Cricetulus griseus: one gene and its partners. The protein of the gene in region 1 interacts with the protein of each later gene in a biochemical or structural test. Links are inferred from orthologs where the notes say so. Each region holds a gene or a part of one and is shown on either strand. Other genes may lie near its edges. The genes, in order: Bnip2, Arhgap1 and Cdc42.

What was found.
Region 2: the proteins of Bnip2 (region 1) and Arhgap1 form a complex in vitro, tested with the Homo sapiens proteins (2 studies listed by BioGRID). The link is inferred for Cricetulus griseus from reciprocal best matches to the Homo sapiens genes BNIP2 and ARHGAP1.
Region 3: the proteins of Bnip2 (region 1) and Cdc42 form a complex in vitro, tested with the Homo sapiens proteins (2 studies listed by BioGRID, with this or other methods). The link is inferred for Cricetulus griseus from reciprocal best matches to the Homo sapiens genes BNIP2 and CDC42.

Annotation. Positions count from the first base shown.
Region 1 is NC_048597.1:181,527,758-181,531,405, reverse strand, and holds part of Bnip2 (BCL2/adenovirus E1B 19 kDa protein-interacting protein 2), read right to left. Parts: intron 886-3,648; 5' UTR 829-885; coding exon 779-828; intron 206-778; coding exon 138-205; intron 1-137.
Region 2 is NC_048599.1:85,113,525-85,117,651, forward strand, and holds the start of Arhgap1 (rho GTPase-activating protein 1), read right to left. Parts: upstream 2,917-4,127; 5' UTR 2,783-2,916; intron 1-2,782. Other genes in the region: Znf408 (zinc finger protein 408), read left to right, coding at 3,336-3,381, 3,668-3,945. UniProt on the Homo sapiens protein: GTPase activator for the Rho, Rac and Cdc42 proteins, converting them to the putatively inactive GDP-bound state. Cdc42 seems to be the preferred substrate.
Region 3 is NC_048595.1:15,978,159-15,981,806, reverse strand, and holds part of Cdc42 (cell division control protein 42 homolog), read right to left. Parts: intron 3,287-3,648; 5' UTR 3,237-3,286; coding exon 3,132-3,236; intron 265-3,131; coding exon 192-264; intron 1-191. UniProt on the Homo sapiens protein: Plasma membrane-associated small GTPase which cycles between an active GTP-bound and an inactive GDP-bound state. In active state binds to a variety of effector proteins to regulate cellular responses. Involved in epithelial cell polarization processes.

The DNA of each region.
Region 1 (3,648 bases):
TTAAGGATTTTCCAAAAATCTGCCCTTTGGCTTCCTCTATCAGAATGAAAGTTCAATGGGTTTTGTTTTGCTTTCCTCTCTACAAAGAAATGTGTTCAAAAGTAACACAAACTTCACTGAAAGTTTTCAGTTCTTACCAGGTTGGCTGTCTGGACCAGTTACATCTAGTATATCTGCTTCAATACTGTCATCTTCTGGTAAAGGTCTAGACGACAAAGACACATTCTTTAACCCAGAAATTAAAAACAATTCTTTTGAAGCTCAAAGATCCATTAAAAATATCACTTAGTTATAAGGACTAAAGCTGTGTTTAAGCCCTACAAATCCGTTTGTATTCCTGTGTATGATGTCAGAAGATAATCTCAGATGTTCCTCAGGTGCTGTCCACTGTTTGAGACAGCATCTCTCACTGGTCTGGGATGGATCAAATAGCCCAGGCTGGCTGGCCAGTGTACTCTGGGGATCTGGTCTCCATCTCCCCGGGGCTGGGGTTATAAGTGGACACCACTATGCCTGGCACTCCATTCACTCTTGTAGACACCTGATATCCCATCCCTCTGTAAGCCCAAGACCTCAGCTTAAAGCAGTCTGCTAAAAATCTTTAGTTGAAGATATGAAAGATCACCAGTCACACAGTTGGAAAATTAACTTTCACTTTCTAGAATCCAGCAATCACTTGTAACCTTTTTAAAGAAGCTCAACATATATGAGCTGACAGTTCAATGAAGTAATTCTTAAGCTTTGTTCCAAATCCATTTTAACAAAAAGTACTGCTCACATTGGAAAATCTTCATCCTGCCATTCTTCTTTGAGCTCCACACCTTCCATCCTCAGCCTGGATTCAATGTCAACTTCCAGTTCCTGGCAGTCCAGGCAGCCGAGGTCCTGGGAGGGAAAGATGGACAAGAGCTCCATTTCCAGTTTACTCTTCATCTGCAGCAAAGGGGCAACAACCCCACCCAAGCTCCCATTCCCCACTCCAGCAGCTGCAGAGGTATTAGTTCAGTGAAACTTGACCCTTATTATTATTTATCTCACATAAATAAATATTTTCTCTCCACAGAATCATAACTAAGCCTTACATCTTAGTTCTGGACATAAGGGTGATTCTAGAAACCACATTAGTAACTTACAAGCACACGAATGCTCACCAGGTCCCAGTGCTATGCGGTGTTTACAGCTCCTCCTCTCCATTCCTGAATCACTTAGAGGCTACCCAGGAGCTTGTCCAGCAATGCACTAATTTCTAATGTGTTTCCCATTTGTATCATGCCTCTCTCACAGAGCTCAGCACTCAAATTAGTGATGCTTTCATATTTACAACTATACTTTTCAACTTAAGCCCCAAAGTTTAATTTTATTTTTGTAGGAAACTATAAGAATTCTCAGTAAGATGGCACACTGACTCACCTTCTGTCTGACAGAATACAGCATTTGAAATACAGTGTAAGTCATGAAGAAGAGTTGGAGAGATGATTCAGTGGCCAGTTCCCAGCACCCACAAGATGGCTCACAACTACTTGAGACCCCAGTTTCAGGGGCATCACACAACCACTTCTGACCTTTGATAGTGCTGCATGCACACGGTGCACAGATATGCAGACAAAACACTCACACATAAAATAAAAAACAAATCTTAAAAAGAGGTCATGATGATCAGCTGGTAAAAAGTACAACAGAAACAGCTGACAAATACTGAAGCAAGAAGTATCATTGAGATTCAACTCATTTACATTACAACAATCAATGGAACAAGTTACTGCAGGCTGCACTAAACCACACTTCTGTTTCTATCTTCTTGCCCTTTAGTCTAGGCTGTCTTCAAACTTGTGATCTTGCTATTCCAACCTCCCGAGTTCTGGAACTACAGGCATGGGCCATGATGCCTAGCTTCACATTTTTAAGAGTCACACAGTAATAACAACGAAGTAGTAGTAGTTCCAAGTGGTTGACACAGAGAAGAAAGGGTGGTACGCCTATATAGCACACCCACACACTTCCATACTACTTGATTTTAAAAAAACTGCAGAGCATGGTAGCTCACACCTTTAATTCCAGCATTTAGGAGGCAGAGGCAGGTGAATCTCTAAGAGTTCAAGGTCAGCATGGTCTACAAAGCAAGTTCCAGGACAGAGAAACCCTATTTTGAAAAACAAAACCCAAACCAAACCAAACAAACAAACAAACAAAACCCACCTTCCTAAATAAAATAAATGATGAGAACCATTAACATGCATATCAAATGATATTCTAAAAACAAACTACAAGGGACATTAAATTCTCTGAAGTGTTAAGTTTCATATAGCAAATTAAACCATTCCTCTAATAACTAGAGGTCTCTATCTCCCAGTTTGAGTACTTATACTTGGGAAGGTCTCAAAGGACGTACATTTTTATAAATCTATTTATTAGCATGGGGGGGTAATATGCTAACTTTCTGTCACTGAACTACTCAGTGGGTAAAGAACCAGAATAGTTCCCATGGTCTTGTCCTACCTTTCTACTGGGTATGGGGAGGGGGAGGATCAGAGTATTCTGTATGTCTTTCTTAAATAACAAGAAAAAAAGTCTCAGAAATAACAGCAGAGACTGACAATTGCAATGGACATATCCTTAGTCTTAGTACAATGCTCAGCACATTTTAGATTTAACAGTGAAGGCACACCATTATTGGGCAAGTTCTTAAGCTTATATTGCTTTCTGAACTATATAAATAGGATTCCTGTTATGAGTTCCCCCTTAAAAATGTCATGAAAAATACTACAAGAACATAAATACATGCAATATAAGTCACTGTTGGTGAAATTATTCTTTATTTGCTGAAAGAAATATTTTGTCTGTGAAATGCCTCTTAACTGCCTTCATTACTTGAGAAATAATTCGTTCAAAATTGTTATGGAGGCTGAGGTTAGCAATCCCAGTGCTCTGGGGCCTACAAGAGGATTAAGGTTGAATGGGAGACTAGCCTGGGCTATATAGCAAGACCCTGCCTTAAATAGAAACAACAACAAAGGAGCTCTTTTACATACACACAGGCTTGTAACCCCCTGGCTATCTCAGAGGCTGAGGCAGGAAGACTGCATGTTCAAGGCCACCTCGAACCTCTGAGTTAGACCCTGTGTCCAAATAAACTAGAAAGGTAGGGCTGGGGCTGTAGCTCAGACACTACTTGCTCAGTAATGGGGCCCTGAATTCAATTCTCAGCACCACAAACAACACAGAAAGCCCAGGTCCTTCAGCCCTTGTAGCTCACCTCCTCAATTGTTACTCTAATGTCCTCCATCATGTGATGTTCATACATCTCTATACATTGGCATGGGTTTTTAGTTATGGGGACAGTTATCTAGGCTAGTTAAACAAAGGGGACAGAGAGAAATAGAGGTTCACTCCCCCATTTCATCAAGAACTTTGGGGGCAGCACACTAGGTAGATTAAAAACAAAGTCAACAATCGAGCTCTGTTCTTGGAAGCACTTTATCACCAGGCAGCTGTAGGAACAGGAAATAACAAGAAAGGAGCTGAAATAAGTACAACTGCTCTGGAGGGAATCCGGATGCCTCTGACTCACCAGCTTGTTGCAATTTCCCAGTTTTGCCTTTAGAACTTTAAAATGTTACAATAGGGAAATAGCGCTTCGATACATTATTT
Region 2 (4,127 bases), on another chromosome or scaffold:
GCTCTCGGCTCCATAAAAATACCTCCCTTGAGCTCACCCAACACATTTGCCCAACCCTAAAGAAGCAGCTGCATTCCTGATGCCAGAAAAAAATGACATATATGGTCAGAGAATTAGCAGGGCAGATAAGAGGAGCAGAAAGGGCCTGGGGATAGGACGGAAGAGAAGGGTTGCCACATGAGATCCACACTGTGGGCTAGGAGAATCGTGACAACCTCCCCTCCCTGCACACATTACAGCCTAGGGCTCTAAACTAGCTCTCAGAGCCTAAGCAACAACTGCCTTGTTACCATGACAACATACTGAGTCAGGAGGAAAACTGTTTCACACTTTCAAAGCCAAAGACAAAAGCTTCTTCCTTGTTCTTTCTCTCCCCTGTCCCTTGGCCTTATCCACAAATCCAGCTGGACACCAATATATAGATTCCTCCCTAAGAACACAAAGGGCAAACCTCTCACATTTGGGAATGCATTTCTCTTAGTGAGTAAATCTGCCTCTGCCCAAAGCCCAGATCTTTACTCCCACGTCAACCCTCAGTCCTCAAACCAAGCAATCTTCCATCTTGAGGAATTTGCCTCCAACCCGCCTTCTCAACCCAATTCAACCAGGAGTCTATAGGGCTGCTTCTCACAGGATCCTCTAGCTTAGTGGTTCTCAATCTATAGGTAGAAACCTCTTTGGGGGCCAAACAACCCTTTCGCAGGGACTATGTAAGACCATTGGAAAACACAGATATTTATAATTCATAACAGTAGCAAAATTATAGTTATGAAGTATCAATGAAAATAATTTTATGGTGGGGGGGTCACCACAACATGAGGAACTGCATTGAAGGGTTGCAGCATTTGGAAGGTTGAAAAACACTGACTGATTAAAGGATAGATTCCAGATCAAAACACCTTCCTGGCTGAGCCTTCTCTCCATTTCTATCACGGCCCAGTTACAGGAACTCCTTGACACCCCCATCTCACAGCTATCCAAGAGAAATCTTTTAGTACACAGTAAGTACCTGGTATGACAGAAACAGCATGAAGTCAAATATATGAAAAACTGTCTTAGAGTCCTGTCTAAGCCAAGGACTGTAAAGATCCCAGGCAAGCGCCTTTCCTGTCTGGACCTTAAATTTCCTTATCTACAGAAGCAAAGGCTCCTCCCAGAAATACAATTCTGCAGTGTTCAGCAGCACTCAAATGGGAGAGAACAGAGTTAAAAGTAGCAGCTGGAACTGAGCTCTGTGAGGGAGGGAGAGGGAAACTATCAAGAAGAGAGCAGAACTGACTCCCAGCTCTTTCCCAAGAACCTCGATTCTGTACATTCTAGACCTGACCTCCTTCAACTCCCACACAACCTCCTTTACCAACAAAACTAATCCCAGTAGTGCCCAGCTCCCTGGCCTCTCTCACTCCCATCTATTGCCTTCTCTGAGCTGGGACGTTTATCTGCTGTCCATTGGGAGACGAGGGAAGCCTAGGAAGGGAAATTCTAACACAAAATGATAGAAATAAAGTATACCAGTCACCTGTGAGTCCTACTCCACTCTGCAAAAACACTTCTCTCTCTCTCAGATTAATATTCCTTTCCGAGCAGATAAACCTTGACCTTCAAAAAGTGTTTGAAATCACTTTAGGCAAAGCCTTTGACTTTTACAAAACAGTCAAATATCTCTGAAATTCTGACATCTGTGGACTTTTCTCTAGGAAAAATGAACAGATCCATGAAATCTTGATTGCAATTTTAAAGGCTTCACAAGCCCTCTTAGAATTACTGCTTAAGAACCTATTTCAAAGGCTAAATCATAGCTCAGTAGTAGAGCACTTTGCCTGCACACACTGGGCCCTAGCTCCTCTATGCAGCATAGAAAAACAAAGCCATCTATTCAGAACAATGCCCAGCACATAGGAGACACTCTGTCATTAGTTGAATGAATGATTTTCCTAAGTAGAGAAGGAAACCAACATTTGTGGAAAGCCAATATAGTGCTTCAAGCTGACCACAAATTCACCTCACAACTGCATTACTTGTTCAGCATATGCTATCAAAGCCATTTACAATTTGAACAAAATGGGGGGAAGGGTGAGCAAATTGCTAAAGGTCATAGAACCCAGACGCAAGATTTTAATCCACAAGTACCAGTTTGAGGTGGTCTCTTGGTGAAAGTCAACCCCTCAACAACTCTCATGTGACTATCAGTCACAAAGTTCACAGGGTTCAAAGAGGCGCCACAAAGGGGCATTCAGAACTTTTCATGTCAAGGCAGAACAGAGCTAGCAACCTGAAGTCATAGTACTTGCTGGCGTTAGAATCGGACTGTTTTGTGACTCCGGAAAAACAAAACTCCTACATGACAGCAACTCTAAACTATAATCACGTTTGCACAGTCAAAAAAAACAAACAACAGATTGAGTGTATTTCATTTCACAAGAAAATGAGAAGAAAGCATGACTTATCAAGTGGCAAAGTCTATCACTTCCTCCTAATTTCTCGCTCTCGGTGCTTTTCCAGATCCTGTCAGGGAGACTTCTCCCTCCCGCGGGTTTGTTCTGTAATGGCCTATGCCTGAGAGAGGGCAGGAAGAAGTCAGAGAAAGTGGCTGTCTTCTCATTGCAGACACCGAAGTGGGGCAAAATCCCAGTAGCAGAGAGATCAAGGCCCTCGGGCCCAGTTCCACCGCCCGCGCCACTGCCTCCGATTCTCCCCTTTAGGACCGAAACCCTTCAGATGACCAGAGCAGCTCGTTCCCTTCCCCCACCAGCCCAGCGAGACCCCGCGCTCTGCAGCTCACCGCGCTCAGGCAATGCTCCCTCTGCCACGCCTGTCAAAGCTCAGCAAACATCCGGCTACGAGAAGGAACGGGAACCGCCCCCTCGGGGGGCCCTGAGCTCCCCAGCCACTTCCGCCACATCTTCCTCCTACTTCCGGCCTTGCTGCCCGGTCCAAACATGGCTTTCCTGGAACCCCGCCCACTTCCGGCAATCACCTGCCGAAATGCACGCCTAAGAGGTTACACAGTATAACAACTGTCCGGCTGGTCGCTCCCCAAAGGAGGGTGGGTTGGGCAGATTGGTTCCGTTCTTCCAGATACTGGAAAGTAGCGTGCCTCGGGAATCCTTTCGTTCTCAGACTTTTGTCTGTCCAGTATTTCTAAACTCCCAGTCCTGTGGTCCAATGATGCCTAACCATTGAGATTCTTTCTTCTTTCCTCTTTTTTTTTTTTTTTTGGTTCTGAATTCTTTCTTGAGCTTAAATTTGGAAGTCAAGGACTGTTTCCGCGAGGAACCGGGACAAAAACGCTCACTTCCGGCGGAGGGGTAGTGGCGAGAGCTCTCTGATCCAGTATGAAGGAGGCGGAGGAGGTGCTCTTGGGGAAGACACTGCCGCTCCGTGAGTGACCTGCGATGTCTGCGACCCTCAGCCCGGCACTAGATGGCCCCAGCGTTTTCTAGTCAACGCCTCCTCCCTACATCCCTTTTTCTCTCTAGCCTGGGATCCTGCCCCGGTGCCTTCCAATGCTCTGGGGTTTAAGAGCCTAGACCCCCTTCCAAGTTTTCAGGGGCTGAGGTAGAGCCTTGCTTATCCCTCAAACCCCTGAGGCATAGCTGACCTTGCACTTTCCCCAACCCCACGCCCTCGTGGGCCGCTCCTTCACTGCCTTCCCGTCTCCCTGCAGCCCCCAAGCCGATCCTGGGCCAGGAATCAGGATGGAGCCTTTCTGGAGGAGGCTTTGCTCAGGGCCTCAAAGACTTCCCGCCTGGTTCGAGCCCTGTCATACTTGCTCTAAAGACCCTCCCCCAGGGCTTGGCCCTGGGCCCCTCGAGCGCCAGGAAACAGCACTTGGGGGTCTGGTGTGTCGGAGAGCCCCTGCAGCTCGGACTGCATTGGGGACCTCTGGAAGTGGACTCCTTCTCGGAGGAGAAGGGCGAGGGAGTGAAGCCACCACGCGAGCAGGTATTGAAGAATAGGACATCTCCTGTCCTAAAGTTTGCGGGAGGTTCAGGTATTTCCTGGCAGCTCTGAGTTGGTTAGAAGCAGGGTATTTAAAGCGCTGGGAAGTCGTTTTTGTCCCTTTACTACAGGACTGTGTTTCCTTACCTAAGCTGCAGTAACTAAGGAATGCAGATGCAAAAAGT
Region 3 (3,648 bases), on another chromosome or scaffold:
ACTCAGAGATCTGACTGCCTCTGTCTCCTAAATCCTGAGGTTAGAGGTGTGTGCCACCATGCCAATAACCATCAACAAAATATAATAAGTGAATTACTAATATACTAATTTAATGGTGTCCAAAACAAGACACACAGTAGCAACTGTTACAGTTAACAGATCAAAACATTATGAGACATTTAAGTTTTCACCTGCAGTATCAAAAAGTCCAAGAGTATATGGCTCTCCACCAATCATAACTGTGACTGCATAGTTGTCGAAAACCTAAAAACAAAACAAAGAAATATAATATTATTACTGAGTAAGATAGTACAATTCCCAACCACTTATTTCCTTCCCAAGAAGGAAATTCATCTTCCCTTAGTTCGTATCTTTTTATGTAATCCATCTCACCAACTATGTCCTTGCATTAGCTGAGTGGTTCTTGGGAAAAAATGAGAGACTGTGTCCTGGGATGTCCTACTACTTGAGGAACACAAAAATCTTAAGTGGTATCACAGAAACTAGGTCTCTGACTACAGAGGACCAACCTTCCATCCATCTTCAATTGGGTTGGATAATAAAGGAAAGGTGATATTCATTCTGACAACTAGTGGTATTGAGAAGCTTTTGAATAAAACACTTTGCTAAATGAAAATAAACCAGCTTAGACAAAGAAAAAGGAGGGGTTGGAAAGATGGCTCAGCAGGTAAGATCACTGGCTGCTCTTCCAGAGGTTCAGAGTTCAATTCCCAGCACCCACATGGTGGCTCACAACCACCTCTACAGTGCTCTGATGCCCTCTTCTATCATAAAGGCATATACACAGATAGAGCACTCATAAATGAAAAAAATAAATCTTGAATGAGCGAGGAAGAGAAGGAAGAAAGGAAGGAAGGAAGGAAGGAAGGAAGGAAGGAAGGAAGGAAGGAAGGAAGGAAGGAAGGAAGGACAAACTGGGTATGGTGGAACACCCCATAATCCCAACACTTAGGAGGTAGAGGAAGGAAGAAAAACCAACCAAGGTCACTCTGACCTACTTAGTGAGTCTGAGGCCACTCTGGGCTATATAAGGCTGTCTCAAAAATAAGAAATAAAAATTTCAAATAGTCCCCTTCAAGTCTAACGAATTTAAAGACAGGGCTTTGCTTCAACAATGTTCAATCTGATTTCTAAGAAACTATTCATTCACAAACAGTTCCTTTTAATTCAGAACTGAAACTGGGCTGGAGAGATGACATAGTGGTTAAAAGTTCATACTGTTCTTTCAGAAAACTGAATTCAGTTCCTAGCACCTATATGAGACTCACAGCCACCTATAACTCCAGCTCTAGAGGAATCAAACACCGCTAGCCTCTGTGGGCAGCTGCAAGCATGTGGACATGATCCACATAACTAAAAATTAAGTAATTAAAGAAAAAAAAAGCCAGGAATGTGTCAGGTTGTGTTGGGTATTATCTATACAGATGCTATAACACTTGGGAGGTAAAGGCAGCAGGATCACTTGATTTCTGGAAACCAACATCAACAAGATAGTGAAACCTTACCTCAGGGGGAAAAAAAAATCAAAATTAGGAAGCACTGGATAGAGGCAATAAGCAGACCTCTGTGAGTTTAAGGCCAGCCTGGTCTACACAGCAAGTTCCAGGAGAGCCAGGGCTACACAATTGAAACTTAGTCTCAAAAAAGGGGGGGGGGGAGGGGGGAGTCAGGAAAAAAGCTTGATTTCCAAGTCTCATCTACCAGTTGGGCATGAATTTTCTCCATGGAAGATAAGGTGATCGATAAAATTCTTCAGCTCTAGCAGGGCGGTAGTGGTGCACGCCTTTAATCCCAGCACTTGGGAAGCAGAGGGAGGCGCATCTCTGTGAGTTCGAGACCAGCCTGGTCTACAAGAGCTAGTTCCAGGATAGCCTCCAAAGCCACAGAGAAACCCTGTCTCAAAAAAAACAAAACAACAACAACAACAACAACCAAAAATCTTCAGCTCTAAACTCTAGTCTCTAAATGGTTAAATCAGTCCACGGATAGGCATAAATATGCACTATATACTAAACCCGTTTTCATGCCAATGTAGATACCATAGATATATAACTTACTTTGACCTATTTACCTAAATAGGCCCATTTAAAAATTTACCTCACTGCCCTTCTTTCCCCGACAATGCACATACATAAAAAACACCCAGGAAGTTCACATCAAACAAAATCATGAAAGACTTGGAAATCATGTTTATAAGTAAAAATTCAGACACAAATTTCCCAAGTGGCTATCTCACCTTAAGACACAATCCACACCATACTTCAAAACATCTTCTGATTAATGGGCCAACTCAAAAATGTAGTTTTATTATCAACTTTTTTTTTTTTTTTTTGGAGACAGGGTTCTTTGTGTGGCCCTAGCTTTCCTGGAACTCGCTCTGTAGACCAAGCTGGTCTTGAACTCACAGAGATCTACCTGCCTCTGCCTCCCATGTGCTGGAATTAAAACGTGTGTGCCACCACCACCCAGCTATGAAATTACATCTTTAAATTCTCACTTCTCAAAGAAACTTCATCTTCTTTCCTCATGTAGCTTTAGCCTAACCCCTCCACCAGCTGTGACACCACAGAAGCTAACATCAATGTTTCTGAAGGTTAATCTAAGATTTTGGACTCTATTTCATCAATTCCAAAAGACACAAGTCACGCCAGGTGCGGTGGCCGGGAGTTGAATCTGAATCCTCTGGAAAAGCAGCCAGTACTCTTTAACTGTGGAGCCATCTCGCTACCCTCAACTGTTTAATTTTAAAGTGTTAATTACCCATGAGAAGTCAAAAACCTTTAAAAATAGCAAACAATGGGCTGATATGATGATTGAGATGGTGAGGGCACTTGCAAAACATGACAACCTGAGTTCAATTACAGAGCACACATGATCAAACTAGACTCCTTCAAGTTGTCCTCAGCCCTCCATACATGTACCAAGGCAGGTTTGTATATACATACATACAGTATATACATACATATACCCTACAAAGTAAATAAACAATGAAATTTAATTTCTTTTTTAAAAAGATCAAAGATAGACAGAAAAATATTTCAGTGCAGGCAGGCAAACTTTTTCCAATGGACAAACAATCCTTTTCGCTGTCAGAAAGACTTTATACTTACAGTTGGTACATATTCCGATGGAAATTTGTTTGTTGTATAGGATATCAGGAGACATGTTTTACCAACAGCACCATCACCAACAACAACACACTTAATTGTCTGCATTGTGGAAATAGTTTTGTATCCACTTTTAATATTTCAAATTAGATGGTGACCTACAAAAAAAATTAAAGACAATTATTCTATTGATTCCTATTTATATACATATTTTTCCCCTCAACTAGTAACAAGTTCAGCTACTCAAAGAAAAGTACCAGCATTACTGACATGGCTTAAAACCTCTAAAAAGAAAAATGGCAACTTGCTCAGAGCAGCAGTTACAAGGGTCTATTTGCTAAGTTTCTGGACCTGGTTGTTTTGTCTTAAGTATCTTTTTTTTTTTTTTTTTTGGTTTTGAGACAGGGTTTCTCTGTGTAGCTTTGGAGCCTATCCTGGCACTCGCTCTGGAGACCAGGCTGGCCAAGAACTCACAGAGATCCACCTGCCTCTGCCTCCCGAGTGCTGGGATTAAAGGCGT